Mytilus edulis: one gene and its partners. The protein of the gene in region 1 purifies or fractionates together with the protein of each later gene. This does not show direct contact. Links are inferred from orthologs where the notes say so. Each region holds a gene or a part of one and is shown in the gene's direction. Other genes may lie near its edges.

The links.
Region 2: the proteins of cell growth-regulating nucleolar protein-like (region 1) and GTP-binding protein 4-like purify together in Homo sapiens (co-immunoprecipitation; 3 studies listed by BioGRID and IntAct, with this or other methods). This does not show direct contact. The link is inferred for Mytilus edulis from reciprocal best matches to the Homo sapiens genes LYAR and GTPBP4.
Region 3: the proteins of cell growth-regulating nucleolar protein-like (region 1) and uncharacterized protein purify together in Homo sapiens (affinity purification with mass spectrometry; 3 studies listed by BioGRID and IntAct, with this or other methods). This does not show direct contact. The link is inferred for Mytilus edulis from reciprocal best matches to the Homo sapiens genes LYAR and GNL2.

What each region holds. Positions count from the first base shown.
Region 1 is NC_092347.1:43,469,392-43,477,131, forward strand, and holds the start of cell growth-regulating nucleolar protein-like, read left to right. Parts: upstream 1-4,671; 5' UTR 4,672-4,774; exon of another isoform or gene 4,775-4,779; intron 4,780-6,937; 5' UTR 6,938-6,945; coding exon 6,946-7,070; intron 7,071-7,711; coding exon 7,712-7,740. Other genes in the region: protein-lysine N-trimethyltransferase SMYD5-like, read right to left, coding at 104-231, 1,429-1,677, 4,400-4,456. UniProt on the Homo sapiens protein: Plays a role in the maintenance of the appropriate processing of 47S/45S pre-rRNA to 32S/30S pre-rRNAs and their subsequent processing to produce 18S and 28S rRNAs. Also acts at the level of transcription regulation.
Region 2 is NC_092345.1:13,257,951-13,265,492, reverse strand, and holds the start of GTP-binding protein 4-like, read left to right. Parts: upstream 1-4,530; 5' UTR 4,531-4,601; coding exon 4,602-4,649; intron 4,650-7,542. Other genes in the region: zinc finger protein 28-like, read right to left, coding at 1,202-1,401, 4,098-4,143. UniProt on the Homo sapiens protein: Involved in the biogenesis of the 60S ribosomal subunit. Acts as a TP53 repressor, preventing TP53 stabilization and cell cycle arrest.
Region 3 is NC_092344.1:111,337,228-111,344,179, reverse strand, and holds the start of uncharacterized protein, read left to right. Parts: upstream 1-3,939; 5' UTR 3,940-4,030; coding exon 4,031-4,100; intron 4,101-6,952. Other genes in the region: coiled-coil domain-containing protein 25-like, read right to left, coding at 450-497, 3,649-3,673. UniProt on the Homo sapiens protein: GTPase that associates with pre-60S ribosomal subunits in the nucleolus and is required for their nuclear export and maturation.

The sequences.
Region 1 (7,740 bases):
AAAAAAAAAATTATAGCTCACTAAATTAAACAATGTAACTGAAGAGTGAGATATCAATTTGTTAATAACATCCAGCGTTATTATAACTTGTATAATTATTCACCTCCAAGTTTCCTGAAGCCTAGCTAAAGGATGATCATTGTCTTCACTTAGTCTACTAGGACCCATACACAAGACTTGATGATATTCATCCAAAGCTGTTTTTCTACATAATTCGCAGCAATATGTCACCTGTATAAAAAAAACCAGTTATATTGACTGAATTTAGCAGTGAGTTTTTGCTTTTAATAATAATAATGTGCTATGATAAGGGACTCAAGGTGAATAAAATATCATTCACCAGGATTTTTTCTCATATGTATGAAGCCATTGAAGTAAATAAACAATGATTGACATTTACGATATAATATTGGATTGATTAGAATTTTTCTCACTTTTTTCGCTATAGTGAAGGGTGCTAAAATTAGGAATGCACTCAAAAATTTGGAAATTTCAATGCTTAAACTTTTGATAGTGTGTATTTGTCCAACAATATCAAGGGTATCCGGAAAGGTCTTTAAACATAAAGTAGAAAGGACTGTTTGCAGATCCTTGTTAGCAGACCTTAATCTGTATTTTATTCAGATACTACTTTTCCTTGGTATTATGTTCAAACCACAAGTTAAACTGTTAAATGCAATACACTGTCACAAGTTCCAAAGGCTTTATATGAAGTTTTTGGCAAGACCATGCTATCAATCATCAAAGAAAAAACTATTTTACTTTCTTTCATGAAAAAAAATGAATCCTTCATACATACAATGACATACAACAATTTATACAGAAGACTTTGCTCTGCACTTGAACGAACCCTTTAGCTTGCAACCACTTTTTGACACATCTGTGGCTTGTTGCATAGAAAAGTTTCAACCCTATCCTGAGTGACTGAACATTCTATTGTTTTCCAGGAGTAGTACAAATTTCCTGCCCTTTATGTCCTGCTCCATACAGTACACACAGAGAGGATGTAATCTCATACTCCCAACACTGATTCTGGTGTAACACAGTGTCACACTGTGAAAGACAGATTTCCCTCCCAAAAAACACCAAGGAATTACTCCCATCTGGGAGGGTTTTATGACCTGTTGATTGCAGGTAAAAGTAATAAAAATCAACAAAGCATGACTGCATAGTCTGACAGTGACATATAATCAAATGTCAACTATTCTCTCACTTCTTCCTATTTCAATCATTTCCTATTTAGTTTAATTTCTGAAAGCTATAAAAAAAAAAAGGTTAATGAAAATACATCCTCTCTGTGTGTACTGTACCTACCTATTTTAAAATTATTAATAATTTCTCATACTGAATATGCATGAAATAATTGCCACTGAACATTAATCATTAATTACTAAATTAATTCATGTATTCTCTGAATAATTTGGTTACCTGACAACCAGGACAATCCACATATGGTGACTGATCAGTAATATCACATTCCGGATGTGGGAGACTTAAATGTGGATTTGTTGATAATCTACGAGCTTGTTCTTCTGCTGTTTCTAAAGATTTCATACAGTATTCACATGCTTTGTATTTGTACAACTCATTCCATAGAAACTGTGTGGAAACAATTGGTGTCTCTTCAAAAATAACATCACCTTTGTTTATGTTTTTCTTTGCAAACAAGCCTTTTCCCTGGAAAAAATATATGTATGTCATAAAATGCCAATCCTAAACAATGATCGTTTGCAAGAAACATTTTAATTTTATAATAACTTTTACCATGGTTACATACTTAAGGTAGCTTGGGTGTCTTCCTCCATCTTGGATTTTGAATTAGCAGAAAACAATCGATTCAGTCTAGATCTTTAATGAAATGAGCAAATTTCAAGAGTAGTATGTATTTCATGTGTAAGACTTTTCATGTTAATATTGAAAATTATGTGTTTCATCATAATTACCATGATTACGCCTGTATATTACAAATAAAAGTGATTTTTTTGTTTTATCAATTTTTTTCCAAACTTTTCCATGTAAGGGTAGATAACTCAGATAAAGAAATCTTTATATCATAATGTGTTGTGTAAATTTACTTATTTTATTATTTAGGAAGAAAATGAGTTTGATGATCTCATTTTTTCTTTTTTGTATCTGCATGAAAGCATATAATATATATGAGCTATCTCCTCATACATGTATCTAATCTTTAAATTATATGGTTTTGTTTTCTTTTTATCACACAAAAATAGGGATTTCCATGCATCATGTTCATAATCTATACAAAATGAAAATCTGACAAATGTGCACAACCTGTAGCCACAAAAGCCCAGTGACCCATACGTTTTATTATATTTTTGAAAAACAGTATGACATAAACTACATTTAGCATGTTTAGACAAATAATCAAAATATTTTATGGATTTTAATTTAGACTCCCATCTACCCTAAGTAGGATAAGTGCATAATTTAAGTTAATTTTTAGTTATGCAAATGACTCTAAGAGAGACAGTATTATTTCCTCATCTATACCCAGCGGTAGTTACAGTTCTATCTTTATAGCTAACTAAGAGGACTTGATCATGCAGCTCATTATTTAGAATACGTAGAGGATACTCAATAAAAAAAAATTGCAGGTTTGCCTCTATCTTTCAATATTTGTCTGTTGCTTGCATTGGTTTTATTCAACAATGTTTATTAACATAGGTTTACTAACTTGCCTTTACCAATAACATTTTTGGCAGGACTATGTAACAAGGTTGGGCGGTAAATACCACCCCCGGTATTTTACCAGTGGTATTTACCGGTATTTTCCGCCCTGGACAATACTCCCCAAGTGGTCAATACTGGCAAATACTGGTCAATTGAAATTTTCATGGTTGTTTCTACTATTAATTGAAGTAAAAACTTGATAAAAAGTCAAAAATACTTAAAACTTTAATCTTTATGCATGTGTCAGCTTTGGAAAGAATACATGTATGTAACATAAACTATCTCAACTAAATCTTAATTATAAGGACACAAATTCTTGCTACAATTGACTTATACATTGTACATCAAGCATCAACCTACAATTTTTGTATTTTTTTTTGATGACTCAGGGCAAATTTTTTTTTGACAGAAGTGTATAAGATAGGAAACATGAACTTGATTATTATCTTTAAACACTTGAACACTGTAAAACTCTTTATTTTTTTTACCAGATTTCTAAACTCTAGTAGCTATATATATATATATATATATATATAGTAATACCAAGATGAGGGAAATGAAGCTGATGACTCATTTAACACATACATGAAGATGTATTTTAAAAACTGGTTTATAAACATGATAAATGAGGGTAATAAAAGGGGGTACCTTCATGATGAATAAAGGTAAAAAATCTTGCCAAATGATATGTTAACGGTAATATTTCGTGGGCTTTATGAAAAAAATCTACCGATTTTGACGAACCACCTAAAATTCCTTGAAAATGGTAACGATAATTATTTCAGAACTCAAAAATAACTAGGGGTCGAATTTAAGCTTTTTGTATACTGGCAAGCTGGAACAGTGGAATAAAAAATCTACTGGTCCAGCTGCGAGGGGGGATAGGACCTTTATCGGGACTCCGGGATCAGGTGTTTTTAAGCTCAGGATTTCTGGATTGACCCTTTCGGGATCCGGGAATTCTTTTTTTAAATTTCAGGACCTCGGGATTTCGTTTTTTTTAAGCCCGGGATTACGTGATTTCGTGTTTTTAAGCTCGGGATTTCTGGATCAGGACCCCTCCTACCCTCCCTCAGCTGCAAATCTTAACTGGTTCTGCAAAAATGACATTCATTTGACAAACACTAAAAACAATTTCATGAAACAATATTTTATATTAATTTCTTCAAGTTAACAGGAAATAATATTTTATTTTCAATGAATACAATTATCCTCTTTGACATGCTTCAGTACCGGGTAAATGATTTCGCAAGTTAATTTGTTTGCAAACAAACTGATATTGCGATGCAATCAGTGAGTTTTATCAACAAATTTCTACTGGTCCACCAGACCACCAGCAGACAAAATCTACTGATCCGACGCAAATTCTTCTGGTCTATGACCGCAGGACCAGCGCCAGTTTCGACTCCTGGAAATAACTCTGACCAATCCTGATCATATACAATGTATATAAGCATGACATAACTTAACATGAGATTAATAAATTTTAATCAATTTCATGCAAACATTAGCCGAAAACTACTGTTTAACGCCTAACAATAAAGGTGCATTTTTACCCTTTACATATACATGTAGTGATGTACCAAATTAGGGTTGTTGAAGTAATGACTAAATGAATGACAGGTGAGGTGGGATAGGTCTTGAGGATTGAGGAGTAAACTTGTGACTAAATTATTATATTCATCTGATTATTTGTTTCCCTCATTACTTTTAGTTCATCAATAAGTTGTATTTCTACATTTTCTGTGCTGTTTTTCAACTCCATTTCTATTTGATGAACCGAAGACGGTATGGAACTTATACGAAAATAAATTTTATGTTCATTTTTCTTTTAAATAATAATGAAATGTCACCAAAAAGATAAATCATATCTAATTGACCAAAATGAAGAAATTTATTCTTGTTCTTTTGTTCAAATCTTTAAAGAACGACCGTTTGTAAATACAATTAAACGCGGAATTGCATCTAATCCGATTTAAGTTTTTGTTTAGAATCCCATTGACAACTTCCGCCACATGTTCATTTATTTTATTTTTAATTTTGATATAAGAAAAACAAGCATTTCCTTGTTTTGAATTACTTGGTAAGGTGTGTATGATATTAAACCCTTCATCCTATAACTTTAGGTTATGAAATTATAACATGACAAACTCAGAGTGCTTGATTTTGATAAAAAATCTAGATAGCATTCTGTTTGCTTTTCTTCATACATACGAATTTGTATAATTATTGATAATATTACTTTACAAACATGAAAAATCCTTGTTGTAATTAACTGATTTGTGTATATGTTTTCCTTCTTGCCTTCATGAATTCGGTCATACACTGCTGGCCTATAACATAAGATTTATTTACAGTACCATTCAAAAGGACCAACTCTCCCACACCCTACACCAAGGAAAATGTCCGAGTTACTCCGAAAAACTCTGATATTCCTCCCAAAATGTTGGGAGGAATTTGGGAATAATCTCTTCCAAAATCAGGTAAATGTTTATTGTGATAGCGAGCTCACTCCCCTATTATTTGCTCTTATCCTACTTTGATCTATACCGACACACGACTGATAGGGTAATAGGCTTAAAGTCATATGAAACGAGTAAGTGGTTAAAAATAACGTTTATCCAATTCTTGAACCAATGCATGTATATATCATAAACTTAGTCCTCTGTGCACAAATTTCTCATTTTACGCATATATAATGTTTAATCGTCAATTTTTTTTTTCTCTCTGTCTGTTATGATTTAACAAATATGGCTACTCATTAAATGCCGTGTTTTGAAGCCGAAGTTTACCGATTGTCACCTTATAGTAAACAAATAACAAAAAGCATAGTTATTGAGCACGTGTTTAACATGAACAATCAGATAATTGTTTATTTTAATGACAGATCCATGCTTATTGTGACCACCAGATTTTTACGAGGAGGGTTACGCTCAGGTCACTATGCATACTGAAAATATGTCGGCGAAGCAATTTAAAATAATGAAATTCTTCTAAATGTGAACAAATTAACACTAGTTATACGTCCATGGTCAATAATATAAATTTATGGTTGATGAAATATTGAAATTATGATGGAAATTGTCCAGGGATCAATTGTGTTCAAAAGACAAAAATACAATAAAGAACTGCCAATTTTGGGCGATTAAGAAATGTTCAAAAATGAAATGCTGACTGATTTAACTGGAATAGAATATTATGATGGGCAATTGAGGTTTAATAATAATTAAAGGATTAGTGACCTATTGAATGGCGATAAGCGGATTACTTATCATCACAACTTTTAACATCTTTTGTAAACGTTAAATGGCTGCGCGTCATAAACTTGTCAAAAACATGAAGACAGGTAAAATCATAGTAATTTAATGCTAAAATATTTTTACACTTTCCAAATTTAAATGACGAAATTGATATTAAATACTTTCATCAATTTGAAAACCGTTTCGTAGCAAAATCACTTGAAGTTATTCCCTTTGTTCAACAGAGTTGTCACTTTACAGTTTCTTTTCGTAATTTAGATTATTGAAGTCTGTATAAATGTACCGAGGTGGTGAAACATAGTATTTTACATTGCTTCAATAAATTGAGTTTTACTTGTTGAACCGATGAATAGATTAGACGATCGAGTTACAAAAAAAAGACCTGATTATGTTGTCACGCGTCGTAAATGTTTAGTACATCCGATTGGCAATAAACCAATTAACAGCCACGCAGTGTTGGGAGAGAATCTTTGGAGGAATTTGGGAGTGAAATCCGCGGTACTTGGTAGCTCCGAAAAACACGGAAATCGGAAAAAAAAGGATATTGAATCGTTCCGTTTGAATGGTACTGTAATACATTTTTACTCTTTTACAAAATGTATTAGGGCCTCATATGCATGATGTAATGATAATAAACATGTGGATATGTAATCAAATGTCAAATAACAAAAATACTCAACTCCAAGGAAAATTCAAAACAGAAAGTCCCTTATTGATGGTATAATCAAAAGCTTAAACTCAAACAACTGTCACATTCTTGACTTGGAACAGGCTTTAAGTAGTAAATGGTGGATTAAATCTGGTTTTAAAGCTAGCTAAACATCACACTTGTATGACAGTTGTATAGGAATCTGTTATATTGACAATGATGTGTGAACAAAAAAGACAGACATAAAAGGTAAAAAAGGTAAAAAATTGGGGTACAGCAGTCAACATTGTGTTATTATCTTAATCACCATAAAAATCATTCATACATGTACTTTCAGAGGTTGAGATGGTGGTGTTTACTTGCAGCCAGTGTAACGAATCACTGAAGAAGAATCAAGTAGAAAAACATTTTCAGACAAGATGTCGTAACTGCAATATGATATCATGTGTTGACTGTGGAAAAGATTTCTGGTTGGTATATTATATACATTTGCATAGGTTTATTTTTTGTTTAGAGTTGTCTCCCTTGTCAAAAATTCTAGAAAGGGGACTTATCTATGTAATGTAGCTAATTTATATTTATTTTATAAATAAATTTACCTCAATCAAAAATAAGAAGTTCATGAATTTGGGGTATGTTTTGCAATGAGACAACTCTCCACCAGGGATCAAATGACTCAAAAGTTTGCCACTATAGGTGAACAATCTCCTTCAATAATGAGCCATAAATTACAAATTAAGGCATACATGTCATTCTTCATTATATTATATTAATAATTTCTGTGATTATATTAAGAAATAACTTTCTTATCAAAATGAAAACAGAGGTAAGAACATTGAAATTAGATATCAAATTAACACTTATCTCCCCTAAAACTGCACTACCTTCCTTACAGAAGAATTTATTTGGCAGTACAATGTACCAATAAAAAAATTCATGTGAACTATCGGTATATCAAAATTATGGAAAGATCCTGATTCATTTTTTGGATCAGAAGGGAAAATGAAATTTGATTATGGTATCATTGAGATTTTCTCAAAATTACAAATGCCTATTATCATGATTATGATACTGTGTAAAATAATCCTTATTCCTATTTTATTACTTTCAGGGGAGATTCTTATGCAGAACACATAAAAT
Region 2 (7,542 bases), on another chromosome or scaffold:
TTTGATGGAAAGTATGCAACTTCTAAGAGAATGAACTTGTTTGCTAAAATTGAAGATGAAGAACTACTACAGGATTTTGAAAATGAATATGAAAAAAGTCATGAAATAAAAATCACGAACTTGACTGGTATAAGATGGTAGAACTTTGATATCTCACTAAGCAGTTGAAACAGTGTGTATTTCTTTCTAAGTTGTGATGAGGAAAAACAGTGTGGTCTTGGAAGTATTCTATATGTAGTTTGTCAAAACTGTTCTTACAAAAACCCTAGCTATATTCACTGGGAAAAGACATTGTTTAGCAGAAAAAAAGCAGAAGGGGTTGCAAGTTTTGGACATTAATCATAAACTTAGTATTGTACGGTAATACTAGATATTCCCTATAAATGTACCACATAAATATATACTGGTCATAAATTCTCTGCTGCGTCAGTCAGTCAACAACAACAGATGCCACAAAAAGATTTTCCATTTAAATTAATTAACCTTCTCCACGGTTGCAACAATCATTTAAAATTTATACTTCATAAGTTTTTAAGACTAAAACAAATAAATTGTTAACAAAAGTGAAGTTTGACGATCATTAACCCATCGCTACATTTTGCATTCAATGTTTTTGTTTTCTGTAATGGTGTTTTCTTTCATGTCCGCAATTTTGTGGAAAGTTTCGAAGTTAGAAATAGAACACAAATCTTTATATAGATACATGTATAAATAGTCTATTGTTTGAAGAGTTAAACATGGAATATTCTCCTAATAAAAGAACATTCAGAAAAATAATGAATGCCCTATTACCTACAAATGTATAGAAACTGAAAATAAATCTTTTCAGAAGAACTTTATGATGTTTATATTGATCAATGATCCTTGAAAATAAGGTCATAGTCAACCAAACCCAGCCACACAAACATGTATCACTAACAATGATTCTATCAGATAGACTTTAATATATTTTACCCGTTTCCTAAAAGTAACTGACAATATTTAGATAACTTATTCACAAATCTTAAAATTGATTTTATAGACATTAATACAACATGAAAAGGATGACAAGGTTTATATACCTTGAAAGACAGGAAGGAAATCTTCATCTTCCATATTTCCCTTAAAAGGTGAAATATAGCTCAAGGTGTCATACATATATGTCAGGGTCATTTGATGCAGGCATGATAAAATCAGATTCATTGACTAATATGCATTTTACCTGTAAATGGTGTTTCAACTGGAAAATTTTCCCACATTCTCCACATTTAAATATTGGCTTTTCAGCTGGTTGCCTCCCCTTTTTAGTGTAATCTATTAATGAGGCGACATCAATAAATGATGCTAAGTTTTCTTCTAATGTCTGTGTGAACTGACTGATACAGATTTCTATATCTTTACTTATTGCTTCATCTGTATTCTCTGAAATAAAAAAACACTTTTATGAGAAAAAGATATGCCATATGGCTCAATCAATTGTCTACAACATAATTGCAGACTTAAATACAAACAGTGTTCCTGCCTGTCCTGAATAGAAGGGAGACCCACCCTTTTGAGTACTCACCCCTACCCTTCTGTCCTCCAAAGCAAAAAACTGCATCCATCTGCCTTTTAAAAAAATAAAATTTCCAAATTTCATTCCTATTTGCCTTTCCAGTAAAAATGTTAACTGACGGGTGTAACACACTAGTTTTTCAAAACTTCCTATTTGGTAATTAAACTTTCAAGAGGATCCATATGTTCAAAGAATTATATGTGTTGCAAAATACAAATGCACCAAAACATTTACAATGAATAAATATGTATAAATACCTTTTCAAAATTTGGGATGTATATTGATCTACACAAAACCTATTACTGTGGATTCACTATTATTTGTGGGATACCAATTTTTGTGGTTTTTGTTGGTACAAGATTTATTATGTTCAAAGAATCACAAATTTGCTATTGGGTTGCGTACAGACTTTGACAAAACTACGAAATCAAATATCCACGAAAATGCAAGATTTCCTCAATCCACGAAAATTAATACACACGAAAATAAATGAACCCACAGTATATAATTATGGTTATACATGTATAAAAAGTGGGTTTTTTTTGTAAATGTATAAAACCAAAAGTTATTTAAAAAAGACATGGCAAACCAAATACTGTGGATTGGTTTGTACATGTAGATAAAAAAATATAATGCTCATAACAGTGAGAAACAAATAAGTTTGACAAACCAGATAATACTGAGCAGGTTGATTATTATCTTCCAAATGGTTAATAATATCCTGTTTGGGATACAATACCTTGTATGGGATTTTAGTTTAACACTGAGCAATTTTTTTTTCTTTGGACTCCAGGGAAAATATTACAAAGTGCGCATGCAGAAAATAGCAACTGTACAGCAAAGGCAACAACATTTGGTTAGCAAACTTTCTGAATACCAAATTGTTTATTAATTGTTTATTAATTTGGTCCATTGGAAGGGGTTGATTTATAGAAGGATCAATCCAGCAGCTATTTATTAATTTTTTGGAAAAGCTTCTTTATAAATCAGAAGTCCTGAATGATACTACTACTGCTTTAAACATGCTTAATAAATGCACTTTTCAATATTGAAATACAAAAATTGAGATATTTTTGCACTGAAAATGTATCATGTGTATATATCTTATTTTGGCTAAAATCACAAATTGCCTCTTATGATCTTTTTGGGGAATCCATGTCTGTTTGCCCAAAATCATGTTCCCTCCCATTCACCCCCACATGTTCACACCCTAGTCCAGCCCTGGCCTCAGTGACTTATTTTCAATTTTTATTTATTTTGTTGTTACTGAGTCCAGCTGGCTTTCCATTACCTTCAAAGGTGTAAGCTCGCGGGTAGATAACACGGGAACGATATAGACAAAGGGGTGATGATTAGAACTTACTGATGCCTTCAATCAATTTCTAAGTGCGGACATAGGGTGCAACAAATTTGTTATTATCTGTCAACTTTTTCTGGAACAAGGAGACTTCTCAAGATTGTTAGATAAAAAACAGTTCCGCTGATGAAAATATATGCTCTGAGGGTACAGAGGTGGGAGAATGACTAAGATATGCTTACAATGTAGGCCTAGATAAGTGCACTTGTTCATATATCCTACCTCTGTTTGGAGCAATTTTAAATAACTTAAATTGCAAACATTCCAATCCTGTCTTAATTTTTGATATATTTGATTAATATTTAATTTCCTGGCGAGTGCTCTCAATAAAATTATTTTTTGTTTAAGCTAAGAAAGCAACAACATTCTAACAGGAAACCAATTAGTTGAGTATCACTTTGGTAATCGATACTTGGTACTACTGAGCGTTACTCGAGTACTCAAGAACTCATTGACATCCCTACTTTAGAGATATTAATGTTCCGCGTCATATGAGTATTTGGACCATATGAGTATCTCATATCATGGGGGGTCAGAGGGGTCCAGATCCAGAAATCCCCGGTTTAAAAACATGAAATCCTGACATGCTTGAGGTCACTAATTTTAAAAAAAATCAAATCCCGACATCCCGAAATTCGAATGATGAATTCCCAGATCCTGAAAGGATCAATCCTGAAATCCCGAGCTCAAAAACACCTGATCTGGAGTCCCTATAAAGGTCCATCCCCCCTCTCATAGGGGGTCTCATTGGGGGGTTCCGATCCCGGATCCCGCTTACTGTTTTGTCAGATTCCCGTATCCCGCTTACACTATGTACATAAGCAATTCTCATTTTTTTGTCATTTCCCGGGTCCCGCAAGACCTAATTTCCTGTTTTCACGCCACAATAATTTGACTTTCACGTGTCACGCTTACAAAAAATCGACAATCCCGCGTCACGCTTAGACCCCAATGAGACCCACCTCATATGGTCCAACCATTTGTACATTTTTTGGACTATTATCTAGATATGAGTATATATACTTGTTTGGTTATCGATGGGCCACATCAAATGAGAAATTTGAAACCAAAATTGGCACTGAAATCACATCACATAATACACCAATCAATATGCACTAATAAAAATAGTTTATTTGATGAAAACTACTGTATAAAAAAATATACAGGCCCTGTGAATCAAACTTCGGGTCAAACAGCGTTTTTAACCTTTGATTTCTGACTGATTTATGTCTTCAAAACTGACACTGTCCATTTTTTTCCGGATACCCTGGGATCCTGGCTTACTGCTCGACAATCAACAGAGTTATCGTATATTAGATTGGGTCAGGATGCCTAACTGTTTTTTTCGGACAAGCCAATAAAAACCGGAAGTCACAAAAAATGATAAACTATAACTAGTGAGGAGAGATCCTGTTAATACTACGGAAAATATATTTTCTCGAAAATCTTCACAATTTTAAATTTCATATAAATTTTGAAAAAAGTTCAATTTATTATTTTCATGTCTTTGATATTTATTGTCATGTTTTCTTGGAGAAAAATCTTTTAATTGTCACCAAAATAGTCCGTTGTAGTTGATTATTTTTCATCAATCTTTTATTGGTAGACTTATCATTATTTTCACCAATGAAAATCCAATAAATAATTCACTCCTGGTGAATTGTCAACTTCCTTTTCACGTGTGTGCCAGATTTTGCAACATCAGTCAAAATGTCACACTACAATTTCAAGAAAATCACTGTGGTTCCACCATCAAAAGTAAAGTCAATTGACATTTTATTTGAAGGAAACACTATAGCTAGTTATTTAGTCTTTTGAAATTATGTTCAATTGTAGAAATTACAAAAAGATACATATCATCGTGTAATGTGTTTTCGTACTAATAACAATTTTCACTGCTTACGGTTTTTACTGTTGAGTTTTTATTTAGGTGTTTACTCAGATTTAAAAAGCATGTCCTGTAGATTGATTTTAGGTATCTAGTTTTTTTTGTCAATGATTTCTACGATTTTTTACTGTTTCCGATTACTTTGCGATTTTTGTATGTCAAAAAAACGGCGTCATATGTTTTCGTATGAAATAAAAATTGGATCAGTACACGGACAGGAAATGACTACAAAATCCGGAAATAATTTTTTTTTAAAGTCGTGGTTCTGGTGATCGCTTGAATCATAAAAAAAGTTATTAAATACTTTTCAGTACTAAAAATTACTAGTTAATAGTGTAAGGTTGGTGTTTCGTGTGATGAAATTTTTAGATTTTGATTAATTTTCAGATTGGCACCTGGTTTGTACAAAATACATTATTTTTTCTAAAATAAAATGCAGTTTTCAAAATTTATGATTAAATATAAAAAGTTAAGACTGTTTTCATCTTCATGTATCAAGGATGTATAAAAAAAAATTGTCAATGAAATATTGAATAGTTGGATTTTGAACAACCATTTTATATAAGAACCATGCTAATTTTAACTCGATGGTTTGTAATTAAAACGGCCAAAAAAACACATGACAGTCATATGTCTTGAAGATCCGGTGTCTGACTTGCAAAAAACATATCTGGACTTTATTTTAACCCTTCAGAATTTTTTTCCACAACTATTCTAGTGATGCGTTTTTTTGACATTAAATAAAAATGGCTAAATAGGTCAGTTTTATTTAATTTGTTCTAACGTCTTTAAAAAGCGACGTTGAATATGTTTTAAATATATCAAGTTGTAGTGGTGTTGTTGTTCTAAATATAGAAACAGAAAAACATGCCACAATGTACGCGTATGCAGTCGAAACCGACGAAATGTGGTTGATACGAAAACATATGACATACGAAAACATATGACACGACGATATGTTTATAACATGCCGTTCATGAAAAATTTATGTTTACAAAGATGGGGTTAAATAATAGATTGGTTGATAGTTGCTAGCATCAACGAATATAAGTGGCAACTAAGCAAATTAGTTTTCTTAATACAAATTGAATAATAACTTGCCCGATTGCTAAATCACTCCTCATTGCCCTCAATCTTGAGGCCTGTTAGCCCAAATTTTCTCTATTGTGTGTTTTGCTCAACGTAGTTTCTTCTCGGTGCTATAAAAGGGGTCTCACTAATTAGCGACAACAAGCGTCAAGAAGCGACAACAAGCGTCAACAAGCGACAAGAAGCGACAACAAAAATTATTTTAGCGACAACAAGCGACAAGAAGACTATTTAGCGACAAGAAAACATTTTTTTTTATTAGATATAAAGAAATTTGTATTTAATGTTTTTTTTTAAATATACGAGCAGATATGTCTAATTAAAATGTTTTATAATATAAATAGACGAAGAAATGAAACATTTGTGAGAAAGCTCAAGATTGTCATTAATTTCCTTTCATCTTCAATCAATATGCATAAACATGATAAATATTGCGAGCTTAATATATATTGCACGAAAAGAGTTTTAAAAAACAAATTATAAGATAAATAATATGTTCTAAAACACAAGGAAAAGTAATCTCATAATACAATAATTAAACGTAATACTGGCTGTTATATATATATATTCATAATAGATGATAAAATATTATCATGTTAAATAATGTTTCATTTTTTTCTATCAATTTTAACTTTCTTCGTCGCTAAAATTATTTTCTTTTGCATATTCTTTTAATATTTATTGCAATAATTAATTTTAATTAAAAAAAAAATGTTTTCTTGTTGCTTGTTGTCGCTAAAATAATTCTTATTGTCGCTTCTTGTCGCTAAAATTCTTGTTGTCGCTAATTAGTGAGACCGTATAAAAGGGTATGCACTGGTTAAGAGTGGGATTGTGGAAAAGAAGTATCAAATCTGCAAATTCTGTTTATGAACTCGCCTTCTAATCTGGTAAACATACTGTTCAGGGTGCTCTTTGGATATTTGATTGAACATATCTTCTCGTTTGTTCTCATAGCAAGGACACTCCATGAGGAAAATGGTGAAGTGTTTCACGTGCTCCACAGTTGCATGACTCTGCGTTGGTTTAGTTGTCTTACTTGGTTCTTATAATAGTTGAGTTCTGTGTAGCCAGTTCTATGTGGGTGAAATATGCTGAAATGTCTTTTAGTTGGGAAATCGTACAAAATTGAGTGCTTTGTAGTTGGTATTTTTCCAAACAGGTCTCTGCATAATTCTCATCTTCTCTGCCATTTGACATCTTGAAGTGTTTTAAAGTTATTTCCAGTGGTTTTTCTTATTGATCCTAGCTGACATTGCTGCTGTTTTTGCAAGGATGTAGGCCTCGTCATTGCCAGTTATATTGGCATGTCCTGGTGTCCATGTTATAATTACATTAAGTCCTTTTTGCCTAAGATGTTGTATGTTCTTCTTTTATTTATCTTATTACAGAAATGTAGCTATTTGGGGCCCAGCTTAGTGTTAGTAGTCCCACAGCACAGACTGTCAGAGAAAATTTTTAGATAAAACTTTATTGTACAAAAACAATTTTTTTAAATTTAGGGGGAAATATTCCAAAGTTCAAACAAATAATTCAAAATTTGGTAAGCAACTGTTTTAATGATACTACAATGTTTATTAGATTGATCTCTCAAAAGAGAAAAAAAGCAGTTACTTTGGTTTTAATAATTATATGAAATTGGTTGTCAGCAAGTTTAGAATACTGGATGTTAAA
Region 3 (6,952 bases), on another chromosome or scaffold:
ATAGTTGTTAATGTCTGTGTCATTTTGGTCTTTTGTGGATAGTTGTCTCATTGGCAATCATACCACATCTTCTTTTTAATAAGTAGTTCAATTACACAATGAACTGTATCACTAGCCTTTCAATACTGAGTTCATATTCCGCAAGGGGAATTAATTGATGAGGATTGTCAGTTTTCCATAATAAAATGGGTGGTTCTCATTGGGCACTCAGGATTCTTCTACTTGTTAAAATAATACTGTCCTGAAATAGCACAATAGTGCTGAAAGTGGCATTAAACACCATTCAATCAATAAATGTTATACAATCATTGCCAATGTACTATTACATAATATCAATGTACAACAATAAAAACTGATATAAAATAGTAATATAAAGATAAACTTTACTCATTAATCTATCCCTTTTATAGGTAATTTTCTACATGTTTAATACGCATAGCCATACTCACTTTCATGTTTATCCAGACCCATATAAATAGTGTGAGGTGGGGATGTAACTGAAAATATAAACTAAAATTATATGCAAAAGATTTTTTTGTTATGTTCAATGATAGCTTCATTTTACTTTTTATGTTTATTTTTGGCACATGTATGTATATCATTTACAAAATTCCAAAATTAGACCAAGAGTGTATTCAAGCACAAAGCATGATATGTATTATTCAAAGTCTAATATACATTGTAGCGACAGGGTACCCAAATTGCACCTATTTTGACAGTTTTTTTAACCTACGTTTATTTATATATATGCTTCAGACAAAAGTTTTAATTATGTGTTTATTTTGAAGATGTATCATTATTTACTATATTGTTTCACCAATTTAATTTTGAATCGTTATGGAATCATAGAAAAATTGGTCTGAACTGACCTTCAAACCATCAATGATTCTGTAATGAGGAGTACCTAAATTGCATCCATTCTTAAATTTGCATCGTCAAAAGTCGAATAACAGAACTTTTGTTTAATTTCTTTAAATATTTTGAACAATTGGATATAAGTTCATGCTTACTCTTTCTTTTTTTTTTTAGAAATGGATACTTGTAACATATTGTATTTGCTAATTTTAAAAAGATGACGTTTTGATGACATCACTTCCGTACATTTTGCTTTTTCAGGTAACACTTCATCTGTTGATAAATACTGTGAACATTGTGTGTATATCTAAATATTTTTACCTATGTTGAAAGAAGTGCATAGTATCAAATCATAAAAATACAAATTGTTTAGTCTCTAAGAAATCTTTTAAGATTCCCGCTGCTATTTTTGCTGAATAGGTGCAATTTGGGTACTCGGTTTAATTTGGGTACCGCGACGTTACCTTTCATGGATAATTAAAGTCATTAAACATAAAAAAACATGCAGATACCATCAACAACGTATTCTACAAAAGTATTTTAGAACAAAAGTTTTTCTCTTTTCTAAAAATTTATGAAACAATTGATATCAAATTCAACAGCTTCATGTACATATTGTACAAATATGGACAAACATGTTTAACATTTGGAGTTATATGTACATCCACATCATTTGAATTGTAGTAGATTATGATGGTTGTCTTATTGGCAATCATACCACATGCAACAAAAATGCACCCACCTCAATTATCAATGTTCTTGATAAGCTACATTGAAGTTTTTTTTAAATGACATTGTTCTTCCCAGAGCCTAATAGTTTTTTTTTAACATAGTGTATTATAACAGTAGTACAATGTACTATTTTTTGGGGGGAAACAGTCCTACATGTATTTCAAATTACCTGGAAAGAACACTTATGTATCGATAAATTATTAAGAGAAGGAAATACTGACTTTTTTAAGTTCAAATATTTATTCACTGAAATAAAATTGAGAATGGAAATGAGGAATATGTAAAAAAAAATCAACTCAAAACAGTCATCTTCCACTTGCTAACAGGTCCTTAAGGATGATGTCTGTTCACAACAGGTCAATTTGCACCAAATAGAGTCCTATTAACATGATTTGAAAAAATTACAGCAACTGATTTAATAGGTGACAGCAATGATAACCATAAATACTAATGTCATGCACAAACCAGTTGGTCAACATATCTCACTGAAAGTTTTAATCTTTATATTATTTTTAAAATTTGGTCACATTACTTTTTGTTCAGTAAAATTACTTTTCAAAACAAACTTCTATCAAACCAATGAATGCATAAGAATAATAAGAATGTATGGGTGAAGCGACTGAGGATGAACTGTTAGTGACTAAGTGTGGCCGAAACGTCTCAAAAGCCATTCTTGACACAGGTACTTGTGGACAGGATACCCTTTGAGTGCCCCTGAGTGGGAGTATCCCGATTGACACCCCATGTAGTTTATTTTTTGTTTGTTTTTCATTAAATGTTTATTTTAATTGTTTTTACTTTAATATATGTTGAAGTTACTGACAAACAGCATTTGAGTTTTTTGCCGGTCGACTGACTCTCTACATGTATATAGAGGGTGGTAAAGGGTTATTTTCGTGCATCGTTTTTAGCCTTTTTATTTCATGTGTTTTCGTGTTTTGAGATTTTATTTCTCGATTTCTCGTGTTTGGTTCGACGTGCGTGTCTCATGTTCTCCTTTATTTATTTTTCGTGTTTCGTGTCGGAACTATTAATTTCTCTTGCTTGTCCCGCATTTGATTAAAAAGTACCGGTAAACCGGGACTAAATTCAAAGTTAGTCTGGAGATTGTTTAAAATTATGTGTTCCCAGAATATTTAAAATTGCTATCAAATTATTATTATGAATAATATTTTTCCTTCAAATCAGTTGCAACTAGTGGACGCTAAAAGGTGACTGTAGGGTCATCATGTCCATTTTATAATTTATAACAAGATGATACCCAAGAACGGCTGCACGATTAATAAATTATTTTACGTTTTCCGTTAATATTTACGATTTTATTTCTCTTGCTTCTTTTTTCCAATTTTTATTTTCTGTGCAACGTTTTTGTGATTTTTATTTCACGTGTTTCAGTGTTCAGGGCCCCCTTTACCACCCTCTATATACATATCAGTCGACCGGCAAAAATCTCAAATGCTGTTCGTGAGTAACTTCCACTTGTATATTACAAGTAATAACACTTAAAATAAACGTTACTTTAGTGAAAAATAAATAAAAATTAAACTACATTGGGGGTCATTTGGGATACTCCCACTCAGGGGCACCCAAAGGGTATCCTGTCCACAAGTACCTGTGATTCTTGATGCATAAAACGAACAAAAAAATCAGAGAAAAATGACTCAGGGAAAATAGGAATCAGAACCAAAAAATTCTAGGAATGAACAGGAACATAATGAAAGGATTCCTTCAATTTCAATTTTCGCAAAATAAAACTTGATAAATAAAAACTTCAATTGGCCATATTGAGATAAAAAAAAAATAACAAACAAAACAGTGCATCACATTTTTCAGATCTTAATAACCGCACTTGGCTGTATCACTTATTACAGTTCATGTTAGTGAACCAGTCATGGTGATAGATTGATAATTTGTTGTTGTTTGCCAATCGTCCAGTGGGAAATATTTCATGAATGTTCAGGACGATCAACCATCTATGCATCTATGAGTTCAGATTAAATTTATCTATAAAATTTCTGTCACTTATTTGGATAATTGGGGTTTCTATTTTCATTAAATTACCATTTGTTGTGAAGAAAAATACCATTTTCACTTTTTTCCAAATTATCAATTTCACGTTTTTGGAAAAAGTATTTTTCTAACTTCAATGAAAAAGATTTTTAAACATGTAAAGTGCTAATTTAAGGCTACATTTTTTTCAATATCAAATACAAAAACGTTCTAACATCGTATTTGCCTATATAAGAGAATATAATTAATAAATCTGAATTCATTTATTCGTTAAATAATAACTTTAAACAGACTACTATTAGACTACACTGTTATTGTAAGGATATTTTATACACGAATATCATCACTTTAAAAGAGGAATCCATGTGGTATTGACTTCCGGTAATTGCACGTTTATCTTTTTCTAGTGTTCCTTCATTTGGATAGAATTAAAATGGGAAAACCTGGAATGAAGCCGACTAAGAGGGATGGCATCAACAAAGCAAAACATAGTTTGAACCCAGGTGAATAAGAGTTTGATAGTTTGATTACAGTTCTTCAGGGGCCGAACCCCCCTTTTTTTTTAGTAAATATTGTATAATATATCATGTATATTAACCTATGTTTTCTTTTTTAATATTTTCTACTCTTTTTCATACGAAATAATACAATATCACTGTATGACAGGAGTAACCTATGTGTGGGGTCAAAGACTAAACTATTTTTGGAAATGTGAATTCCAGCATATTTTAAATACACCTTATCGCTATTTGTCCGCCATTACTGAATATCACACAGGTTCCCATAAAATTTTGACGTCATAAAACAAAATATCTGACGCCACAATGGAAAAGTGATTGTTGTATGCGTCAAAAGTTCAAGTGGCTGGGTCAGCCTGGATTAGCGATAAGGTCAGTCCGAGATTACTCTGACGTCCAACGGCTGTTTTGCCAGACAAGCTGGGGCCGTGGAACGTCAGAGCTCGTCCCATATCAAAAAGTGGATATTTGCCCACCCAAAAGAGATGCGCTCCTTCGTCGCTTCTGGTGCCGATTGAGGGCCTTGGAATTATATAAATCGGGCATCAATCTGTTCATTTTTCATTTATCTCTTCATTTATGTAAGTTTCACCTACCTGCAAACCTTTATTTTTCCATATTTTAACAGTTTTCACAGAGACCCATCGATTTCTGCATTTTAACTTTCACTTTCAAATGGACGTCAAGTAACGAGAGAGTTAGTGGGGTGCAATCAACAGTTTTTTTCTATGACGTCATATTTTGAGGGACCATGTATAAGTGACCCTTAGTGGTGGACTGATTAATAAAGATACCTGTATAAAACTAGATATCACTGGAATCAGAATGTTCTCTAGTTTATAATGGAATTAAAAAAACGTGTACTTTTAATAGTATAAAAAAGTTTTATCCAGAGAAACTGGGAAAAACATTGCCTAATTTAAGCTTAAAAAACCTGAAATCAGGTCATGTGCACACCCCTGAAGACATGATACCTGCACATTTTTCATAATCAAAGTTGTATGAATTTCATAGATATTTACCTGGTCTTTCAAAAAATTCATGCTTCAGGGTACGTTCGCCTGCTCCGAAAAAAGCTACAGTGGCTGCAAACAAGTTTTGAATTTTCACTGCCAAAAAAACAAACTGTTTACAGTGTTGTCTCCCCTTAAAACATGAATATTTAATCTAATTTTTTAAATTATTTTAATCATTCAACCTGTTTTAATTGAAGTTAATTAACATATCTTCACAACCAAATACAAAAAACATGATACTTTTTCACCAATTATGTTGATAAAAAGGGACTTCTCTCCATGTCTATTTTTAGTTGGGGAATAACTCATAGTTTTTTATACGAAACTGTTTATAGCACCCGTGGCCTCGAGACTCAAATATGCAAATATTTATATTTTTTCACCTCCTTTTTGGTGATTGATGTTTAACATTTAGAAGCCAACCACGATTTTTCACCTCCTTTACAGGAGATCGGTATTAAGCATTTAGTTCCCACCACGATAACAATCGGAAGCTCTCAGACATTTAGATAACTTGCATCGTAAATGAACGAGGTGTTACATTATGGTCATTTGCACTGTTTTCTTGTGGTCACGTGATAATCTTAGAAAATGAAAGTCAAAATGCAGAAATCGATGGGTCTCTGTGAAAATTGTTAAAATATGTGAAAATAAAGGTTGGCAGGTCGGTGAAACTTACATAAATGAAAAATGAACAGATTGATGCCCGATTTATATAATTCAAAGGCCCTCAATCGGCACCTGAAGCGACGGAGCAGCGCATCTATTTTGGGTTGGCAAATATCCACTTTTTGATATGGGACCAGGGCTCAGGCTACCAGGCGACTTGGGCGAAGAAGTCGCCTTCCCGACCGTCACTTCGCTTTCCCCGACCCCCAAAAGCGAAAACAAGTCGCCCTGTTCTTGACGATAGTCGCTTTCAGTCGCTTCCGTCATCGGACATTTTCAATTTTTACCAAGTTGATGAAACATCAATTTTTTACTGATAATTAAAGAAATTCAGACATAAACGATTCATTATCTTTAGAAAAGAGGTTGAAGCATTGTCTTCGCAGTGTGTAGCAGGTTTTTTGATAAAATACAACTTTTTATCACTTCGTTCATCTCTGCAAGTTCCGGTGCTTGTTACTCGAAAACGTACATCAACCTAAATTTCGGCGGCAAAATAAGTTTGTTACTTAATTTAAACGTGACAAAAGTTGCCTCCAGTAAATGTTTAATCCATTTATTGCATTAAAACCGTCATGTTCCTTTCCAAAAAACTTGTCAAACATCGTTTATTTTTGTAAATTTTCTTGCATTCATCCGCCATTGACCGATTTCTAAACTACAGATCTGAACCGGACCAGCTATGACCGAAATCCGTACTTTTACAATAATTACTACGGACGCACGGATGGAACAGCTGACAGAAGAATATTGATCCCAAAGGGGAAAATTATGCATTCCACACGCATTAAGAGACTTTTGGTTACATCTAATTGATTGGTGTATATAATTCCCTATATTTTTTATGGATTGTTTCAAACTATTGATTAAAGTTGCTGAACTCTGAGACTATTATACTAATATCAATATATTATGGCCCAGCTTAATAACTTTTATATTTTTTTTATGAGAAACACTGAATTTCATACACAAGATAATTTTTAATTAAATTGTAATTGATATATTATAATTTCTTTACATTTTTTAAAATAAATTTTTTTTTTAGTGCTAGATATTTAGTTGGTAGTTTAATTTCTCACAAGAACCTTAGTAAAACTTAAACAACTTTTAATTTCAAATGTTACTTTAATTGTATTTTTTTACTCATATGAA